Nothobranchius furzeri: one gene and its partners. The protein of the gene in region 4 interacts with the protein of the main gene of each other region in a pairwise test. Links are inferred from orthologs where the notes say so. Each region holds a gene or a part of one and is shown on either strand. Other genes may lie near its edges.

Evidence for each region.
Region 1: the proteins of protein max (region 4) and plekhf2 interact in binary tests that used the Homo sapiens proteins (3 or more experiments, as listed by UniProt). The two-hybrid records come from large-scale screens. The link is inferred for Nothobranchius furzeri from reciprocal best matches to the Homo sapiens genes MAX and PLEKHF2.
Region 2: the proteins of protein max (region 4) and mxd4 interact in a two-hybrid assay, tested with the Homo sapiens proteins (2 studies listed by BioGRID). The link is inferred for Nothobranchius furzeri from reciprocal best matches to the Homo sapiens genes MAX and MXD4.
Region 3: the proteins of protein max (region 4) and unc45a interact in binary tests that used the Homo sapiens proteins (3 or more experiments, as listed by UniProt). The two-hybrid records come from large-scale screens. The link is inferred for Nothobranchius furzeri from reciprocal best matches to the Homo sapiens genes MAX and UNC45A.
Region 5: the proteins of protein max (region 4) and mxd3 interact in a two-hybrid assay, tested with the Homo sapiens proteins (4 studies listed by BioGRID). The link is inferred for Nothobranchius furzeri from reciprocal best matches to the Homo sapiens genes MAX and MXD3.

What each region holds. Positions count from the first base shown.
Region 1 is NC_091745.1:67,587,114-67,591,230, reverse strand, and holds the start of plekhf2 (pleckstrin homology domain-containing family F member 2), read left to right. Parts: upstream 1-1,317; 5' UTR 1,318-1,963; exon of another isoform or gene 1,964-1,980; intron 1,981-4,117. UniProt on the Homo sapiens protein: May play a role in early endosome fusion upstream of RAB5, hence regulating receptor trafficking and fluid-phase transport. Enhances cellular sensitivity to TNF-induced apoptosis.
Region 2 is NC_091746.1:81,015,223-81,019,298, forward strand, and holds the start of mxd4 (max dimerization protein 4), read right to left. Parts: upstream 2,805-4,076; 5' UTR 2,600-2,804; coding exon 2,536-2,599; intron 2,105-2,535; coding exon 2,005-2,104; intron 1-2,004. UniProt on the Homo sapiens protein: Transcriptional repressor. Binds with MAX to form a sequence-specific DNA-binding protein complex which recognizes the core sequence 5'-CAC[GA]TG-3'.
Region 3 is NC_091744.1:74,263,482-74,267,523, forward strand, and holds the start of unc45a (protein unc-45 homolog A), read right to left. Parts: upstream 2,806-4,042; 5' UTR 2,668-2,805; coding exon 2,644-2,667; intron 2,544-2,643; coding exon 2,348-2,543; intron 1,460-2,347; coding exon 1,284-1,459; intron 1,208-1,283; coding exon 1,118-1,207; intron 1,031-1,117; coding exon 863-1,030; intron 774-862; coding exon 605-773; intron 482-604; coding exon 311-481; intron 217-310; coding exon 45-216; intron 1-44.
Region 4 is NC_091758.1:33,255,058-33,258,396, forward strand, and holds the end of protein max, read right to left. Parts: intron 1,860-3,339; coding exon 1,736-1,859; intron 1,647-1,735; coding exon 1,462-1,646; 3' UTR 506-1,461; downstream 1-505. UniProt on the Homo sapiens protein: Transcription regulator. Forms a sequence-specific DNA-binding protein complex with MYC or MAD which recognizes the core sequence 5'-CAC[GA]TG-3'. The MYC:MAX complex is a transcriptional activator, whereas the MAD:MAX complex is a repressor.
Region 5 is NC_091741.1:102,024,312-102,028,361, forward strand, and holds mxd3 (max dimerization protein 3), read right to left. Parts: upstream 2,807-4,050; 5' UTR 2,675-2,806; coding exon 2,605-2,674; intron 2,227-2,604; exon of another isoform or gene 2,120-2,226; coding exon of another isoform or gene 2,095-2,119; intron 2,015-2,094; coding exon 1,915-2,014; intron 1,780-1,914; coding exon 1,750-1,779; intron 1,667-1,749; coding exon 1,552-1,666; intron 810-1,551; coding exon 644-809; intron 573-643; coding exon 454-572; 3' UTR 244-453; downstream 1-243. Other genes in the region: protein FAM193B, read left to right, coding at 3,754-3,915. UniProt on the Homo sapiens protein: Transcriptional repressor. Binds with MAX to form a sequence-specific DNA-binding protein complex which recognizes the core sequence 5'-CAC[GA]TG-3'.

The DNA of each region.
Region 1 (4,117 bases), on a different chromosome or scaffold from region 4:
AGGCTCAACCTGTCATTAAGTAAATCTGGAAAAAAATTTAAATAAATTGCTAGAAACCTTTAAAAAAGGTCAGAATGAAAAGTGTACACATCAGCTGAAGCCAACACTAACTAGTTTCTTATTTTAAATAAAAGTTTAATTGCATAGAAATAAGTATTTAAATAAAAATATTGGTATTTTTTATTTGATACCAGCAACATGCAGGTGAATTTACTTAGTTTTTACATAAAGAGGAGATTTGCACTCCTCCATGAGGCATTTTTCAGTTAACCGGAGGTGAACCAAAGGCCACATGTTTAGTCATCAGTAGAGGGTGGTTGTAAATGATGGAAACAGCTTTTTAGCAGAGGGGAAATGGAAAACAGTGCAAGGTGATGTATAAAATGACAAACAGGTTTATAATAAACTTTGGAGCAAATAATCACTTCCAAAAATTGGGATATTCTAATTTTAGCTAATGTTCCACAACAAGTAATCCGTTTGGTGTGTGGTACATTTGGATGAACCCAACATAGAAGAAAAGCAGCGTTAGGTCAAAGAAATAGAATTTTACTTGTGATGAAAGAAATATTAAACAAAGGAGTTGTTGTGGTGTAAAACCAAACCAAAACAGAGCATGTATATTTGGTTTAGAGAGTGAATGACTTCCTTTTTTCTCCTTTGGGTAATTAAATAAATTGTTATCACCCTTCACCAAACTCTCTGACATTCCAGCAGTGTGGAAATATTCTCGGACTCATTCATTTGAAGTGTTGGGATATTTGACCAACCCTGTAAGGTCACAGTGGTTTTCTAATACACGATTAGTGTTGCTCTAAGCATCGTGGCATAATCTAATCTCCTCCGGTGTCTCGGTGCAGATTTAAGAGCTTTGATGATGCAAGTGAATAATCACATTGACTCTCTTTGGGTGTTTGGATGAACTGATAAGAGCACCGTCTTCCAGTTTTAGGAAGCAAACAGACTCAGATCTAGTTTGTGGTGAATGATCCAACTGTAAATGTGCTCTACACGCTTTAAAATAGTTCCCAAAAACTAATGAATCCAGAAGCAGATTTGGCCTGTAAAAGTATAAAATAAATAAAAAATAATAATGCAATGTATGTTCAACTTATGTTGTGTATTGTATTGATGAATTTGATACTTGCAGACCATCTCTGCTGATAAAAACTGAGATTTAAATCCAGGAATTTAAAATGATGGGGTTAAAACAACAGCATGTGTTATGAACTAGAGTTGGGTGCTAAACAACTAATGAGTGCAAATGTTTTCAGTTTTTAAAGGGGAAAGCCAAAATCTAGTAGTGTTTCCCTAAAAGTTTGAATTAAATGAATTTTGAATGTTTGGATGCAGATGAGCAGCGTCCTAGCTTAAGGGTAGAGTTTTTGCTGCCACAGGCATTAAGAGGGGGAAAGTAAATTATGGGGAGTTTATTCCCATTCCTGTTGTTTGTGGACACTATGGAAACCGTTGTGCTTTATTTTCTTCATTTTTTTGTTAAGGTGTCAGTGCATTTTTCCTACAAAGCCACAACATGTACCATCTTGTTTACTATTTTGAACCCCAGGCAGGTCTCCTCCCAAAAACTTGGCTTCTGTTCTTGCTCATGATGCCTTCACTGTCCCTTGGAATAATCAAAAAAACGAACTACTTCACTACACGACTTGGAAGAAGGAAAAGATTATTTTTCTTTCGAAATAGGTCAAAAATATGACTTCCCAAATAAAAGTACAGCAATGATTTGCTTCTCAGAACAGACAGCTTCACTTCGGATTTACCAGCCATTAGATTGCCCTTGAACGCATCTTCTTAACGCTGCCATGTTGTTGTTTTATCCACGGAGTTTCCAGCTGCTGTCGGTGTCTGCGGACACAGTGGTCAGTTCTCGAGGCAGACTTACTACTTTACCGATATCACCTGGAATACAGCAGAACTTTAGATCTATTGCAGAAGCTATTTCACAGTGAGTGCTACCGTCGGGTATGTAGTTCTTTGGGTTTATAAGTTGACTGATGATACTTTAACTCTTTGGCTAAAGCTGGTTCCGTGGGTTTCAGCTACTTTTTCCTCATTCATGTTAATAGCCTGTAAAAGCCCGCGTTGTGTGGGTGCTTTTCTTTTCCTTTCTCCTAAATGTTTATCGATTATCGAAACTGGGAACCGCTTTTTCACTCAAAACCGAACAAAAAAGAGTGAAGATTAGCTTTAAAGTAAAATGTATGAAGTGCTTGGAAGCTAACGTCTGAGCTAGCTAGCTAAGTCTGCCAACGGGCACCACTTTCTTTTGCCAACTTGGACAAAAAGTTGAAAAGTAAATTGAACTTTGAGACGTGAGGCATTGATAATAAGACTTTAACTTGTTTGTGGAATAATTACGTTCAATAATTGGTGGAAGTGCTGGACAGACTGGAAACACTTGAACAGTTTAGGTGGAAATACTTGGGCAGAAACTACTAACTTCAATGTGTCTTGGCTAATGGTAACAAATGGAAACTGAACTATTCGGGCAGTTGGGAGTCCACCTTATCGCAACACAGTTGTGGACGTGTGTACTCGAGTTTTCTACCACAAAAAAGGGAAGTTTGATATGTCTTCATTGTGTCTAAGTGCATAAAATCTCCATTAGCTTCAGATGACTGAGGGCATAATAAAGCAACATTTATTTACACATATTCTGTCCCCGTGGTATTGAGTTTATTATCTGTTTACAGCAACACACATTTTAGGTTAGAGCAATACTATTTAAATCATTAACACTGTCTCAAAGAAGAGTGAAACATTAAACATAAAATGTAAAAAAATAAAATAAAAATAAAACTTATTTGATATCTATTGCACACAACATTGTTTTAGATTGAAATAGTTCATTTGTTTTTGTATTTTCCCCTTAATTTTTCTAAGTTTGCATTTCTTTAAAGTATGTGTCTATTAAAAATTGTAGCATTTTTCTTATTTATATATTTTCTTATAGAATTTTCTACTTCTCTTTCAAATTCAGTTTCTTTTTTAAGTTTCTGTGACTTCACATTATTGCAAAGATTATTATGAAACCAGGTGAGACAAGCTGTCGTTCAGTCATAGATGAAAACACAACATTGCAAAATATTTACACCCGCACCAGTGTCAGAGGGGGACAAGCTTAACTTTCTATTTTTTAAGGATCTAAAGTAGTAAAATTAGAGCCCTATGAAATCCATTTCATTTTCTTCCCTAGTTGAGATTTTCTTTTTTTTTTATTCAACTTTTTTTTTACATGGTAACAAATGATTAGATAATAAAAAAAATTAACAAGATTTTCTGGGGAAAACAAGCTTTTAAAATAGATGACAGTTTTTCTAGTGAGAGTTGCTTTTTGTTTCTAAAAATGGGTTGCAGTGCCTAAATCTGGTGACAGAATGTCATTCTTACTTCATCCTTACATATTGCACCTTTGGTAACAGCAAGCATTAATAACATGCCGCTGTAATTTCTGCTAAATTATATATAAATAGTAAAATGAAATCAGTGATTTTTGTTACCAGTAGTAGTCAAGACCCCCACCACCAAAGAGGAGTTCAAGCAGAAGATGCAAAAAAACAAACAGACAAAAAAAACATCAATAAATGTACTCAAACTTTAAAACTTCAATGCTTGTATTAAAGCCAATTTATTTTCAGGCTGTATTTTTAATGTTTGTTTGCATTCTAGCTTTACAAATGAAGGCAGTGGTCTTTCAGGATGTGGCATGTTACTCTACAGCTAGCATAGCCTCTGTTGCAATGTGTTGCATTTTAAATGACACAGTTTTAAATGTGATCCTCTTCATTTGCGTAATGAGGTAGGAATGCCCACAGTTATGTTTAAAACATTCTCAGGAATCTTAAGCCTGCCGCACACGAGAGCAATCTGCAGAGCAAACGGCCTCGAATGACCGTTGGCTCAGCAGATTGCTCGCCGTGTGCACCTGATTTTCACTGAGTTTTCCACCTCACAAGAAGCTGAGACGAATATCTGACCATTCAGATATTTTCCGCCTCACGGGGGGTAGAAACTCACCGTGTGCGCACTACTGAGCTGCCGGCTGAGCTGAACTATTCTAGTGGCCAATCGAAGCGCCTTCTCTGATCACATGATTCCA
Region 2 (4,076 bases), on a different chromosome or scaffold from region 4:
CACCATCCATTCGTGACACAGAAACGGGACGGTCCACCTATTGTCTCAATTCTGTTTTTAGCAATTACAGTGAATTAAAAGTGAGTCAAAAGGTGAGTAAAATATCGCGCCACATCTATTTTGAGTAAATTGTGCAGTTTATCAAATCTAGATTAGGTGTTTTTTTAAATAAAACATAAATTAAGTAGGGGCCAGCTCACACTGGCAAGTTATGATTTCAAAGAATCAACAGAAACATGAATCAGGTTGAAAATGTTACAAAAACATATAAAACCTAAATGTAACAGTTCTAAATAGAGATTAACCTAGATGGCTTTTTCTAATGCTGATACCGATATGTAGAAATCAAGATGAGCCGATGGCCGATATGTGCTGCCGATTTTTGTGGCCAAAATCTAGTTGTTCTCCACCGTGTCTGCATGCTAAAATGTCACCATTAAAAGTGGAAGCACAACATTTCTGAACGTGATCAGTCTTGAATGTCAGAATCGAACCAGCTCTTGGATCTTGATTTTGTACACGGCGCAGTATAAGAACCAACATTTACCCAAAGGTAATCAAACAAATCGACGAACGGATCAAGTAATAAATACAAAAAATACGGTAAACATAAAGAAACGTCAGTTGAACATTGACTAAGCAGATGTTTTCAAGAACGTAAACGTACATTCAAATAAAACCCTGCGGCAGCACCAGACTGCCCAAGAATGTGCCCGACTTTAAATCGGCATTACTAAAGCGGTTTATCGGCAGATGTGACGTATCAAAAATGGTAAATATCGTCTCGATCTATCGGTCTATCCCAAGTTCAATGTTTTAAAGTTTCAAGTGACTGCGTGTGTTTCCCTGGCGATAGGGGGCGGTACTTGCCTAAATCGTTGCAAGCATCTGATATTTTTGTGTTCGAGTGAGACCTTACCAATGGATAGCCATTAGGGTCAAAAATCCCTGGGAGCACAACCTCCAGCAAAATGACAAACACATCATACTCCCTTTCATCACAGGCAACGAGTGAAGAGGTAAATGTGTAAAACAACATTTATGAACGGCGAAAGTTTTAAAAACCGTTTGTGACAAATAAGTAGATGTGTTTTGTCTTCACGAGCTCCCAAAGACAGAGGTGTCTAAAATGGCGTTGCCCAGAAACTTAGACCCACCACCGTGTATTTTCAGACTAGATTGTCATGGTTATGTTACAAAGCTGCCAATATTTTTCAACATTGAATTCTTTTTCCACTACGTTTGGATGGATATTTCTAGAGATAAACAGTAAAAACTACACATTGTCTCTTTAAAAGAGTAGATAAAAGCTGTTGATGTTTAACAGGTCCAGCAGGTCTGAAATCAGAAAACCAAAACTGAAACCTGCTCTTTATGTTACGTAATGACGTGGCTCCTCAATATCCGCCTGTAATGGGCAGAAGCAGCAGGTCCGTGAAAGCCTCACGGGTGAGAAGCTGCTGTTTTGATCGAGCAACAATGAGGCCTTCATGGTCTCTCTGGGTGTGTGGGGAAAAGGGATTGCAGTTTCTGAAATGCGAACCCCTTCTCTTTGTTTCATCTTCTGCAGGACTTGCATTTAGCAACAAGACACCAAACAAAACACCACATGAAGAAATAAAATAAAAAATGACATTTAGGGCTTTCAAGTAGGCGTAAGCTTAGTTTAGAATGGTAAAGTGTGTGTGTGTGTGTGTGTGTGTGTGTGTGTGTGTGTGTGTGTGTGTGTGTGTGTGTGTGTGTGTGTGTGTGTGTGTGTGTGTGTGTGTGTGTGCCCCTCCTCTTGGCATGGGGAGGCTAACAGCAACAGAAACTGAGCAGAGGCAGCAGAGTTGACAGTGTACGCGTGGCACTGTTGATTGGAGAGACCAAAACACCGATCCCAGACCAGCTCAGACACCAAAGCACTTTATGTACTACTGCATATGTGTAAGTGTCTGCATATAGGAGGGTTTGCACGAGCTGTCACGAGTGTAAACACACAAAGAATGGGGTGAATTTTACCTGTTGTTCGGAGATTTTCTGGAAATTGTCGTAGGTTTTGTTTTCTTTCGGGAATAGTCGTTGCTGTAGGGTAAAACCGACGCATAGCCGTGCTCTGCCTCTGTTGACACAAAGCAAAAATAAATCACAAGGGGGGAAATAAACTGATAAATAAATAAGCCATAAAAGCGGGGAAAGTGAGTGAATAAATAGGAAATACATCAAGGCTAAACAACCACATTTTTCAGATATTTTATAAGGCATATTAAAAGCACAAAAAACGTGTGTTTAGAAAAAAATAAATCTACCCAAAAAAGAAAAACGTAGAATATATATATAAAAAATTTAATCTGTGATTATTCTGAAGCATAAAGCTGCTGAGTCCAGGATGTACCCATCGCCTGGTCTGTGCCCCACTGAAAGGGAAAAGTGACATCATACCTGCACTGTGGATGTTGTTAAACCCCAAACATCAACTCAAACCCCTTCCTCCTAAACCCAACAGCTACAGAAAATAATCTATAAACGCTGTCAGCCCAGCTTTACCTTTACCTCTGTCTCGTCTCTCCAAATACTCTGCAGCCTCCAGCAGAATTAAAAGAGAATTAAGTTCCATCTTCTTTGATGTCTCGTCATAAAAATAGAAAAATCTATTTACACAAATAAACAATTCATAGGATAATGGAATGAAAATGTAAAAAATAAACTGTTTCAGAGCGATGTATGTGCGCTGCTACGTTCACTTCTGAGTCTTAGCGACTCCAAACTACAATAAAGCTCCTGAACTCAGGAAGTTGAGTGATCGTGACTTTATCCAATCAGAAAAGGCTCTCCGCCGGTCCCAGGTGTGTCCTCACCAATGAAGCTCTTTGCTGCTATTTGATTGGCTAAACTGTCTGAAGTCATTGGGGACATGCCCTAGCAACAGCTTCAGCGCCACACCTATCTTGAAGCTGATTGGTTTTACACATGAAGGACGCATATGATTGGCTGGAAGCGACTCTGGGCGTGCATTTTCTTGAACTTGGGGTGGTTTGGTTGCCAAATGAGATAAAGTTCCCAAAGTATGGTGTTTTTTTTTCTTTTCATTCTAGTGGTGAAGTAAACTGCACTCTTTCAGTCAACAAGACGTCTGGTCCTATTTCTCATAGGAGCGTGTGGTATAACAGACCTGCTAGCATGCGGTGTTCGTGTTTTGGTGCTCATTTCCTGTCCATGTCATTATGAAAGTCCTGCTAGAAACTGAGATGAGAATTTCTGATGTGAAGATACAATATGGCAACACACTCGTTAGCTTGGTATTAAGAAATACACAGTAAAGAAAGTTGAAAATGATGTAGTTTATTTAAGCACCTGTCAAGTGTAATAATAACTAGAGCTAATCAAGTGTGTACTTCAAAATAAAAGGCTTTTAAATGTATTTTCACAATTAAACAATTTTATAAACACCATATATCTACATTTAAAGAGACAAAATGAAGATTCTAAGAGTTTGGCAGAATGTGCTAAATTATGGCCATTATTTTTAGATTATATATATATATTTTTTTATACTAAATTTCAATGTTTAATTAGATTAGAAATTGTGAAATGACATGAATAGCAAAGGCTGAATCTCGAAGGATGACCTAAACATTTTGTTGAATGCCATCCATTTTATTGCAAATCCACCCCCCTTCAATCTAAATTCATTGATCTCATCCAAATGAAGTTCAGATCGTGTGACTGGTCTGGAGTCTGTAATTGCGGCTGTGGATCCAGAACTTGAGGTTCATTTGAAAGTGGGATGACCCATCATGTCCAGCGCCAAGTGAGCTTGGGCAGAGTGTCAAAGCTGCTGAAGCATAGGAAGAGTTATGAGTAGCTCAACAGGGGCGTGCAAATGTGGTTTGTTGTGCATGGCAGGCAGTTTGTAATGCTAGCAGCCAGATGTTTGCTGGACTGCATTCTGAAGGCATCACATTGAGGAAATGACTTTCAATGCAAATGATGAGAAAAAGGACCCCGAAGACCAGTAACATAATTAATGTTTGTGTTGTGCTTACTTTGGGGTCTTTTACCACAGACAGAATTATTTCAAATGTGGCTGTCGG
Region 3 (4,042 bases), on a different chromosome or scaffold from region 4:
GGGTGGATTAAGGCTCCTAGAAATATTTTTTGTAAATAACTTACTGAATATACTCTTCACACAGTTTGCTGAAGTTCTCCCTCTCTTTGTCACTCTTCAGGTCATCGTAGAGTTTGCTTAGCAGCACGGAGCAGCTCATGTGAGTGTTGTCCGTAAGAGGGGGTCCCTCTGAGAGCTCAGGAACAGTCCCAGCCACCTGCAGGATTTTCTTCAGCCCTGCATGAGATTAGGCACCACATTCCACATTTTTGTGACCGTAAATGCACGAGGATGAGACGAACACACGACCGCATGCAGGTGAGTTTCCTACCTTGGTCTATAACCCATAAGGCAAGAGAGTTGTCAGGATGCTTCAAAGACTTGCGGGGAACTTGTTTAACAAGGAGGTTGATGGCACTGTCCCTGCCCGGTCCTGACACATCGGGCGCAGGCATCATCTCTAGAAGGTGGCGCAACATTGAACGCAGCTCCTTAGATGGTTCTGTGTAGAATTCAGATGGAGATTAAACATGGATACAATCAAATATATGATTATAAACATGATACAGTAGATCTGCTTTGAGCGGATCCAGCTCCTATTATAAAAGCAAATAGTCAAACTCACCAGGAAGGATCGCTTCGTCCTTTCCCCTGATCTCTCTTTTCATGCCCTCTGTCAAAGCCTCAAACATCACCTGCAGGAGGTGGCAGGCGGCCAAAGACACAGTGGAAGCTCCTGACCCCATTACCGCACACAGCTGGTCCATTCCCAGTTCATTCACTATCGCCATCGTCTGGAAATAAAAGGCAACAGAAGAAAATCAGCAAACACTCTGCTGCAAATAAACAACTTTAAAGACGCCGCACTGATGGTGACACTTACTCTCGACTGATGTCCCGTGCACAAACCAACTAATGTCCTGAGAGCAGAAAGCACAATGTCCTCCTGCTTCGACTGAAGAAGATTCTGAGTTAGCTTCATCCCGTCGTTGCGGAAGATCTGCTCAGCTCCCGCTTCCTCCCGAGACAACACCACCAGATTCTGAGCTGCCTAAAAAGTTGCACGTATTGTACTGATTTAGTAAGTGTTGACAATAAAACACACACCAAGAGTTACAGAGAAGTGAGCAATTAGCACCTTCTGTCGATCTGAATCTTTAGCAGAAGCATCTAAGAGGAGGGAGAACATCTGCTGCACGCGTGCATCTGTGGAGTTTAGTTGAGCTGACTAAAGGGTTGCAAACATGGGCTAAAATTAGCATCTGCTTCTTCCAAGACAAAACTCCTAATCAGTTTCATATCACCTTTTGCTGCATCTGTGTTCCCAGTTGTCTAAGCAGATCTTGAAAAGCTTTGTTTTTAGGCTCGAGCTGCGCACACGTCTGAGCATCCAGGAAAGCCTGGTCGAGCCGACCGAGTTTCTGAAAAGCCTGAGCCCTCCGAAACCTGGCTTTCACATCGCCTGGGTCAGAATCAAGTGCTGCAAACAAAGGAAAACACCTGGAAACATTTACTAAAGTGGTGCATCTAATAAAAGCTTCAACCAAAGAACGATTTGTACAATACCCAGAATAATGAGCCTTAGCAAACAATAATCTCCTAATTGTCAAGTGTTTTGGGAAGGTAGTAGAGGCTCTGTACCGGGTATTGTTAATATGAAAAATGGAATCTCCATGAATTCACTTTTATGTATTTTGCAAGGCTTTATTTAATATATCTCACATTGTTTTGATTCAAACCGAGTCTGCTACATGTTCAGAAAAAGGCAGGCATGCCACAAAATGATCTGCTTTCCAGACTGTGAGATGTCCAGTTACATAGTGATGCCCACAAAGATGTAGCAACAGCTAAATGCAAATTAATACTATCAAATTTAAAGGCCGAAAGGACAGTTTGTATAAGCAGAGTTCTGTGTGACTAAATAAATGGAAATGTAGTAATTAATTTGTTTCCATGGCAATGGTAAACAGCTTTAATTTACTGGTCAATTTAATTATTTTAAAAATCAAGTAAAACTGTTGTATTGATGCATTATTTAATCTGATTGGTTAATGTGTTTTATTTGATGATCTGAAAAGTCTGCAGACTTCTGATCTGCATACAAGATGAGACAAAAAGAACACTAAAAACACCGAAAATAAGCCAGTACTTATACTGTTTATTTTTTACATAAGTAATTTTACTTGAGTAGATATAATCTTGTGAGTATTTTGCTAAATAACCTACTGTTTACATACCTAGCGTGGTAACTTTTTATATTTATTATGTGTGGTGATCTACAGTCTCTTTCATAAATGTCCCTGCGATTTCATGGCCCCATAGAAACTTGTGCGCTCTTATTTATGCAAATTAAAGAGAAGTGTCCGACCTTTGGAGGCATCAGCCTCCGCTTTGCTGAAATCCTCCAGCTTCAGGTAGCAGGCGGAGCGGTTACGGTAGAGGACAGCACCGTCAGCCCGGCTGTCAGTCAGCTTTAACGCCTTGGTGTAACAGCAGACAGCGCCCTGCATGTCTCCTGCCTTAAAGAGAGCGTTCCCCTCCTCCTTCAGGGCTGCTGGGTCCTCCTGAGTTCAGGGAAAAAAGGTGAGTAACGGTTACCCGGACGGGAAACTTCTAGAAAAATCGGAAATAAACAAACCGAACGGCTCGTTTCAGCTTCCTTACCATTTGTTTTTCGCTCCCACTCATCTTCAGATCCGTTCAACACAATTCGGCGCGTCGTAATGTGACGGAACAGTTGTTTTTATTTCTCTAAATTGTGATTAACAATGTGAACTTCAGTAAAACATCTTGCTGCGCTTCCAGGTGTTCGTAGCACATTGATGACGTTTCACACAAGCCCCTCCCCTCTTATTTGTCGCAGCTTGAACAAAAGAAAAAAAAGGAAAACACCGACTGCTTTTACTTTATATGGTTATATTCACAGACATATATATTGTCTATGTCTGTGGTTATATTTACATCCTGGGGCTTTTCCCAGTCTGCACAGGGACATGTTGTACTTCTCAGGTAACAAAAGAAACAGAAATTCAAATTTAAATGTAGGAAAATGTTTAAATGTCCCAGCCAGGTGATCTTAAAGCCACTTTGTAATCTTGTTGTTTTCAGACTTTATGATTTTCTTTACAGACTTTTACTGTTTGCAACACATTTCTGTCCAATAAAATTCTATCTATCTATCTATCTATCTATCTATCTATCTATCTATCTATCTATCTATCTATCTATCTATCTATATATATATATATATATATATATATATATATATATATATATATATATATATACATACATATATAAACATTTTTCTGAGTCTTTTTAACGTTTAATCGTAGGCACGACAACTATATTCAAATTTCTTTAATTGATTCAGTAGAAATGCCAATTATAACAAAGTTTGACACACAAAATATTATTTTAGCATTCAATTCAATTCAATTAAAAATACTTTAATAATCCCAGAGGGAAACTGATTGCTGTAGTAGCTCAGAATAATAATAATGATCAAGTCGTCAAAGAGTTGTACAATGGCTGTTGGCAGGAAGGATCTCCAGTAGCCGTCAGTGTTGCAGCGAAACTGAAGAAGCCTCTGACTGAAGACACTCTTCCGTTGTCGGACAGTCTTGTGAAGAGAATGCTCAGGGTTGTCCATAATTTTCTTGATTCTATGGAGAATCCTTCTTTGCATTATCTCCTCCAGTGGTTCCGAAACTGCCAAAACTCTGGCTGAGTCCTTGAAAGGGCTTGGAGTTCCTCCATCTTGTTGGCCAGTGATCTCACACTGCCCATTATGATCGATGGAAGAGGTGGTTTGAATTTCCTTTTCCTCTGTCTCCGTTTTGCTTCCGCTCTGCACCCACGCTTCTTGCGTTTTAGCTCATTTGGGATTTGTGGCTTCAGTTTGGGTATTATTTCAGCCTTTCCAATGTTAATCAGCTGCTCCTGATTTTAAACCAGACTGTTGCCATGGTTACACATCATAACAAATACTCAAAAAGTGAAAAAAGCTAAAAAATAGCAGTAAAAATCCTCCAAGCTTCACAGCACCAGAAACAGAAAAGTA
Region 4 (3,339 bases):
TTCAAGGGGTCTATTTTTATGTAACTTACAAAATCCACATAAATACAAAGGCAGCACGGAAATCAGCATCTTTTAACCAATTACTTGCTTCCTGTCAGTTTAGGGGAAATGGTAACATTTCAACTACAAATATTACATTTTATGTAAAAAAAAAAAAAAGTGAAAATGTATAAGAATGAAGTTTTACCAGTCCAAGAAAGTAAATATTTGAAATTTCATTTTTCTAATGGTTAAGTGGATATTCACTTGACCTGATACAAATATAGTTCTTCCAGGCAGCTATTTTTTACAATAATTTGAAGGAAAAAAGACAACTCTGGGATATGCAAGCATCTCCAAAGTAGAGGGAAAAGGCTAAAACAAAATTAACTTTCCAGCACAAACTACGAAAAACAATGCAAACACATTTTTGCTGAATCATAAACTTTTCCTGAAACATTTATGTAATTTTGACACATTTTCAGAGTGACAAAAATAACTAATAAAATACACACTGAGCCATGAATACATCCAAAAAGGATAAAATAGTTTTATTTATAATCTCATAATAAAGGTATGCCTTAACTTGCAAGACAACCATTGGCAGTATGTACAACATACCTGTAATTTCCATGGAATGGAACAAATATTTATTACATACACACATTTTTTTTTAAACTTTTAAGATCAACATTCCCAGCGCAGGCAAATATTTCAAGGGAAGGCTTTTCATTGCAGAACTGACACCACTGGGGAGTATACAGTGTTATATACTACACACTGAAATGGACTTCCATGAACAAAAATTAAAGTCACTGTCCTATAACTTCATTGTGTAACATTCAGTATCAATTAAGTGATTTTTTTAAACATAACCACATGTATAAACTCTGAATAACTATTCAAAAGCTGTGAAAATCCTCTTGTAAATCAGTATAGAGATCAGCCATATGGATAGACTATATAATGGGGAGAAAAGGGGGATTTTATGTGATTCAAGTAAGTTCTCAAAGTCAAAAACTTCAGTCACCTACATCAAAAAGGAGGGCACACCTTGCATTCCAGGCATGTTTACTGAAAACAAATTCACATTTTTATATGAATATTAAAAACACTAATTCTTTCAATTATCATTCCATAAAAGGTGTTAAAATCTCACAATTCAACAAACTGCAAAAGTTGTTTTGTAGCTTTACTAAAGGCTCACGTGTCATTTCATGAACATGTTATCACAAGGTTTCAAAAGCATCAAGTCCTTCAAAAACTGCTGAGCTGCCTCACTTTGGGGATAATAAAAGTCATTGCTGGGTCACAAAAACAGGAGGAAACAACAAGGTAGAAGCGTTTTAATAAAACAGTAACAGCACCTAACACACTGTCTCCTTCTTGTGTCTTGGACTGATTTAAGAAGTTAGGAGCATAAGAAGACAGGTCAGAGATGCTGGAGCTGGTGGATGCAAAGAGTCTGGGGGGCACCGGAGTTTAACTGGCCTCCACACGCAGCTTCTTTCTGCTGGGCGGCTCCTCTGGCTCCGATTCGGAGGTGGAGTCGGACCCGCCGTCAAATGCGGACACTGCGCTTCCTTTGCGGTTTTTGTACAAGCTGCTGTCAGAAGAGTAGTTTGTCTGGAGTTGAGTGTTCCCTTTGGCCTTCTCCAGTGCACGAACTTAAAGGGATCAGCAATGAAAACAGAAAGTGTAGTAAAACGTTACAGTTACTGTGTGAATGTGTTCGATTAGGGATTGCTCCCATTACCTTGTTGCTCCAGCAGTGCGTTCTGCTTCTTTAAATCATCAATGTCCTGCTGGTGGGTGTGATTTTTTCTCCTCATGAACTGGATGTACTCTGTAGCTTTGTCTAATATCTGTGCTCGTGAAGCCTGTTGAGGAAGAACAATGTCTTAGAGCCATGCGACAACTTTGTAGTCGTTTTGCTTAATGCAAAATATAACAAATGCATCGAGACGCACGCAAATCCAGAACATCACAGGGAAGATGGATGTCTGTTCAAGGGAATGTTGTGTAGTTTTCTACCTTGTTACCATTACATGAGGCTTTAAAACAAACTGTTGAGTATTGCACTGGAATGAACTGCGGTGTGTTTAAAAAAGACAAGGCTTCAGCATAAATAAGCATCTGATGCAAAAGTGACATCATTTCATGAAAAATGTATTAAACTGATTTTTTTCTAACTTGGGTGCGAAATGCAAGCTCAGCGATGCGTCACTTCCCACAGGAAGCTCTTCAGACGCCAAACAGCAGTGAAAGCGTACCACACAGCTGGTCCCGCGAGGTCATGGTGCCTCGGGAGAATTGCAAGATCTTGGCAGTTAAAGTAGCTGTTCTGTTTACTTCAGCTATGGAGGCGTCAAACTTAATGGCATACTTTTCTTACCTAGAAAAACAATGGGAAATCTGCATGTGGCTTTTAGTTTGAAAGTTTCCAGATGTTTTACACGGCTCCTGTGTTTGATTTCCTGTCCGACTCAATCTGAACAACTGAACTTGACGCAATCTGGAAGAACAGCGCATAAAAATAAACTCGAGGTGTGAACGTAGAAGAGCAACGGAACACTATGCTTCTGGGACGTGTGCAAAATTCACCACTTTGCAGCCGCTGGAAACACACCCATCGACTATAACAATGACTATTAGCTGCGTGCTATGCTTAGCAGACGTTACGCAACACCTAACCCCAAAATTCCACTACCTCCGCTCCGCCCCCGCCTTCTGCAGCCGCTCGCTTCCGAACTCAATTTTTACTGGTACCCGCTCTACAACGGCTCCGCTCCGGTGCGGAGACCTGAGGTGGGCAAACAGGCATGCGCGGGATTTTCGAGATCTTGCGATACAGTCCGAGCAATAAACGCAGAAGTTATATCCAAACACCCGTTGTGTGGGAGAAGCATCGAAATGAACTGTTTAATCTGCCCATCATTTGTGTTGACAGATCAGCAGTGTTTGGATCAACTAAGTGTGACTACTTTGATAGTGGAAACTATATTTATGGCTCATTTTTGTGCATTTAAAGTTCTGCCGCCATTGATAGTTGTTAAAAGTTGTTAAACCTGTGCATATGAAACAAAAAACGCTTTTTGTTATTGATTTATTGTGAAATAATGGAAGCTGTGCTTGCACCCTTTCCTGTTGGGCGGTTGTGATTTCTGTCCATCGACTGCGGAGGTGCTCCGGCGTCCGTCAAAAATAGAATTGATCCTATTTTTGCCGGATGGCGGAACGGTGGGCGGCGCACTGCGCCGCACAGCCGCAGTAGTGGAACAGCTCTGATTGACTACAACGGGACCGATTTTGCTGCAGAGTTCGTGCCGGAGCGGAGGTAGTGGAATTTTGGGGTAAGTG
Region 5 (4,050 bases), on a different chromosome or scaffold from region 4:
CTGAAGAGCTTAAACCACGAATGAAACAAAACAATGTAGCGCAGATTAATGTCTAAGTGCATGCAACCATTTGTAAATTTGGTGCTGAAGGAGAAGCTGGACTAAAACAGCTAAATAGCTTTAAGGCAGAGTTTAGCAGGCATACTGGATGAGTTCAGATTCTTGTATAAAAGCCCTCGTTTTGTTCCTGTTAAACAATGAATCACTGGAAGGTAAAACACCTGATGGTTGTGAGGAAATGACATCACGTGTTGATGGAAGCATTTTCATAATGTAACATCCTTCCCCGTTCAGTTCAAATACACCTGTTCTCATTTAGATCATTAAAAACTAGAGAGTTTAGTTGTACAGTAACATCTTCATCTCGTCCTTCGTCCTCTGTTTTTGGAATGTTTTTCTCCTCTTCCCGTTTCCTCCTCCTGGCTAAACAAACACATCGTCTTTTCCCTGGAGTCATAGCCAGGCTCTGTCCATGCTGGAGTAACAGTGGTCTACATCCGTGTGTGCAAAGCTCAGCCCGTCAGAATCCACGCAGTCGAACACGATGCTCTCCACATCAACCTCCACGTCCTCTGTTACAGTAATAAGTAAATAGCATGAGAAAGGACCTTCCACCAAGTAGCAAGGTTGAGCTGAGACCCACCTCTGTCGGAGTCCGACCTCTCGGAGGACATGGTGGACCCCTGGCTGTTGTTCCTCATCCTCTCTGTCCCTCTCTGCAGCTGCTCCAACCGAACCCGCAGCTCCCTCTGCTGCCAGCGTAGGTGACCTTTCAGCTTCTCTGCGCGCTCGTCCTGCTCTTGAAGTTTCTGAAACCAGGCAAACGGAAAGGCAGAAACAGATGAGCAAACGTGTACAGAACCATCTTCACGCGGGTTAAGGGGGCGAAGACCTTCATGTTCACGTTGACCGATCTGCCTCTGCTGTGGTGTCAACCTCAGAGGACAGAAAGGGTCTGCAGCAGGTGACAGGCTGGCTAAGCACAACCAAGACTACATTTCTGCAAACACTAAAGGACTCTACTGACCTTTGACATCATCTGTTCTCACTGCTGCTCTCTGGAAAAGATGCAGACTCCTCAGATCTGCATTAAGTTCCTACACATCCACCTTCTCAGTAAGAGGCCACACACACACACACACACTGGTTCGTAAAATTTGTTTCCCATCATTCTTATTCTTGCGACTTAGCAGCGCTAAAAGAGTGGCTAAACTTGAGATTAGATCGTTGAAAGTGACTGTTGGTACCAGCTGCAGGTGACTAGTTTGTGGAGGGTCTGTAGCTAGTCTGAAGGGTGCTAGCTACAAAGTGGTTCTGTAGTCTTGAAATAACTCATCTCAAAGGTCTGATAGCAGTGAATACCAACATGACATTTTATAAACTTTACACCACAATAAACATCACATTACGTGGTTATCTGTTGTGGTTACTTGCAGCGCTAGCTACCTCAGGCCCTAACCTGACCACCTGACCCAGAATGAATCCCTCTTTCTCCAAACCGAGATCTACGCCATTCAAAACATTCCCACCAGATCTGAGCTTCACGTGTACCTTTATGTGAAGCTGAGCTTGTCTCAGCAGGTTGAGCGTGGTGTTCCTGGAGGAGTCTGATGACACAGGAACCTGCTTCTTCAGCTGCTCCAGATAATGCCTCAGCTGAGCTCGCCTGCAAACAACACATCATCAAACTCACTGAACAATAACAACATCTTCTACAAACAAGTGCCGGCATCTCATTTTTCTGATTACCTGTTTTTCTCCAGCTCATTGTGAACCGACCTGCAGATGACAATAAGAACCTTGGTCAGAGACAACAGCAGTAATGAAAAACTCAGGCACAGTGCCTGAAGGGGGAGTTCAGACCTAAAAGCTGACACACCCTCTTGTCAGTTATCTGTTATATAATGTGTTCACCTGTTGCCACCAGCACATATCCTCCTGCTCTTCTGCTTGCTTCTCTTATCGGAGTCGCTTGGACTGAAAGGCAGGGCCGAAGCATATCCGTGTTCTGCTTCTGCACGGGGGGAGAAACAGCCATCACAGCTGAGTCAGACGCAGCTGGTTCACGATGTTAAAAATAGCTTTGCATCGTACCAACAATCTGAGGTCGAGTACACATGAATACAATGGACGTAATACGGGTGGAAACAGGTCATCCGTCACCGGCTGGACGTTTACTTTTGGGTTTTGGCGCCATCACCTACCAGCTCCCCGCTTTATTTAAACTGTAACTTCGAGCCTGATAAACTAAAAGTGGCTAACATGGACTCTACGCGGTCTGTCAGCGATGCAGCTTGTACTAAAGGTCCGTTTCAGCCTTAGTTTCATTCAGCCTAACGAAGACCGCTCAGCGCCGCCCGGATTCATTTTCAAACTGGCGCAGATTGGCGCCTTCCACTAACAAAGATGCCACCGGTATGTAGGTCACTGAGTCAAAAGGCAAACACCAACAAACATGAGCTCCAGCTCAAATCCCGGTCACATGTAAACAGTCACATCACCGGAATAATAAACCGCGTTCACATTTACAGCTGGTTCGTGTTTGTTGTTTTCGTGATAACCCAGTAACTACCCATAGGCTGAAAGGTGACGTAAAACACGTACCCCGCTCTCTCCTTTCCAGAAATTCAGCAGCTCGAAGAAGCACCTGGATGTTGCAAAAGTTTCCTTCCATTTTTATGTTTTCAATTTTGAAAATTAAAAAAAAAACTCAGGTAAACAAACTAAAGTGGAACAAGCAATAACAGCCAAACCAGATGAAGAGCTGTGTGTATGCTACGTCTTCAGCGTACAGAACTGACAATGGCGCTACGTTCACGTACCGCACGTAGGCTCGGATAAATCCCGAGGTTATATTCTAGTCTCGTGTGACTGAATGGCTTTGAAATAAAATTGTGCGCGCACAGTTTATATGCCTAATATTATTATTCTTAAATGTTTTATTGGGTCGATTAGGAATTTACTTATTTGAATGAGCGGCCCATTGTGTTGCAGTGCATAAAATTTCCAAAGGTACTTAAAGGGGTCAAAATACATCCACACAACCACTCCCCTCTCAAAGGTCTACTAGTTCTTCTGTGCAAAAGTCTTGGGTCATCCAGCATTTATGTACATTGTTATGAGGGAGACGAGGACTTGATTAATACGTCTCTACGCTTTGGAATTGGCTATTAGATTCCAGTCTTCTAGCCACTTTCTCTTTATTATTTTAAGCCATATAACTCTGATCTTTGAGTCATAAAATGGCTCCAAAACTTAAGACATGAACGAAAATACCCAACTGAATACCTGGGTTTTTATTTATTTATTTGCATTTTGCCACGGTCCCTCAAAAGACATGTTCTAATTTATTTTGAAGAAATAATGACAAATCACTAACACCGATTTAAATAGGACATCATCCTGATAAAGTATATATATATAAATACACAAGTCGAAACATAAAAATGTTTATATATGATCTACTTCTACAAAACAGAAAGGGATCTTTGCCCCTACTAAAGATGGCGGTACATGGCTTCGCCGCCTGAATGGACACTGTTACCGAGCTCTCGGTAGCGGAGTGAAGCCTCTCTGCCAGTAGTATCTTTAACCTCTGAACCTCCGAGTGTGCCAGTCCTCCGCCATATTCACTGTTGTCTTCACTGGAGGAGATAGAGAACATTTTCAGGTCCGAGAAGAAACGAAAGTGTGCTAGTTAAATTACCGAAACTGGTGCAAACTTGTCCAAAGCGCATCGTTAACACCGACGTAATGGCAAGGAAGAAAAGCAAGCAGCAAACGGTCGCCCAGAAAGAGCTTGTGCCTGGACAGCAGCAGAGCGCAGCGAAGAGCCCTGTCTCTCCCGGCGATGCAGCTGGCGGTGGCGGCGGAGATGCTGGGCTGGATAGGCTGTCCAACACCAGGGCGAACCAGGTAGCTAGCAGCAACCAGTCACCGCATCTAAGTAGGCTAGTTAGCCTTGATTTTTAGCGCCACTGCTAGTCTAAGCGCTGCGCTTTTATGTAACGGACACTATGTTCGGTAGTTGGAAGCTATTCCATACTTGTG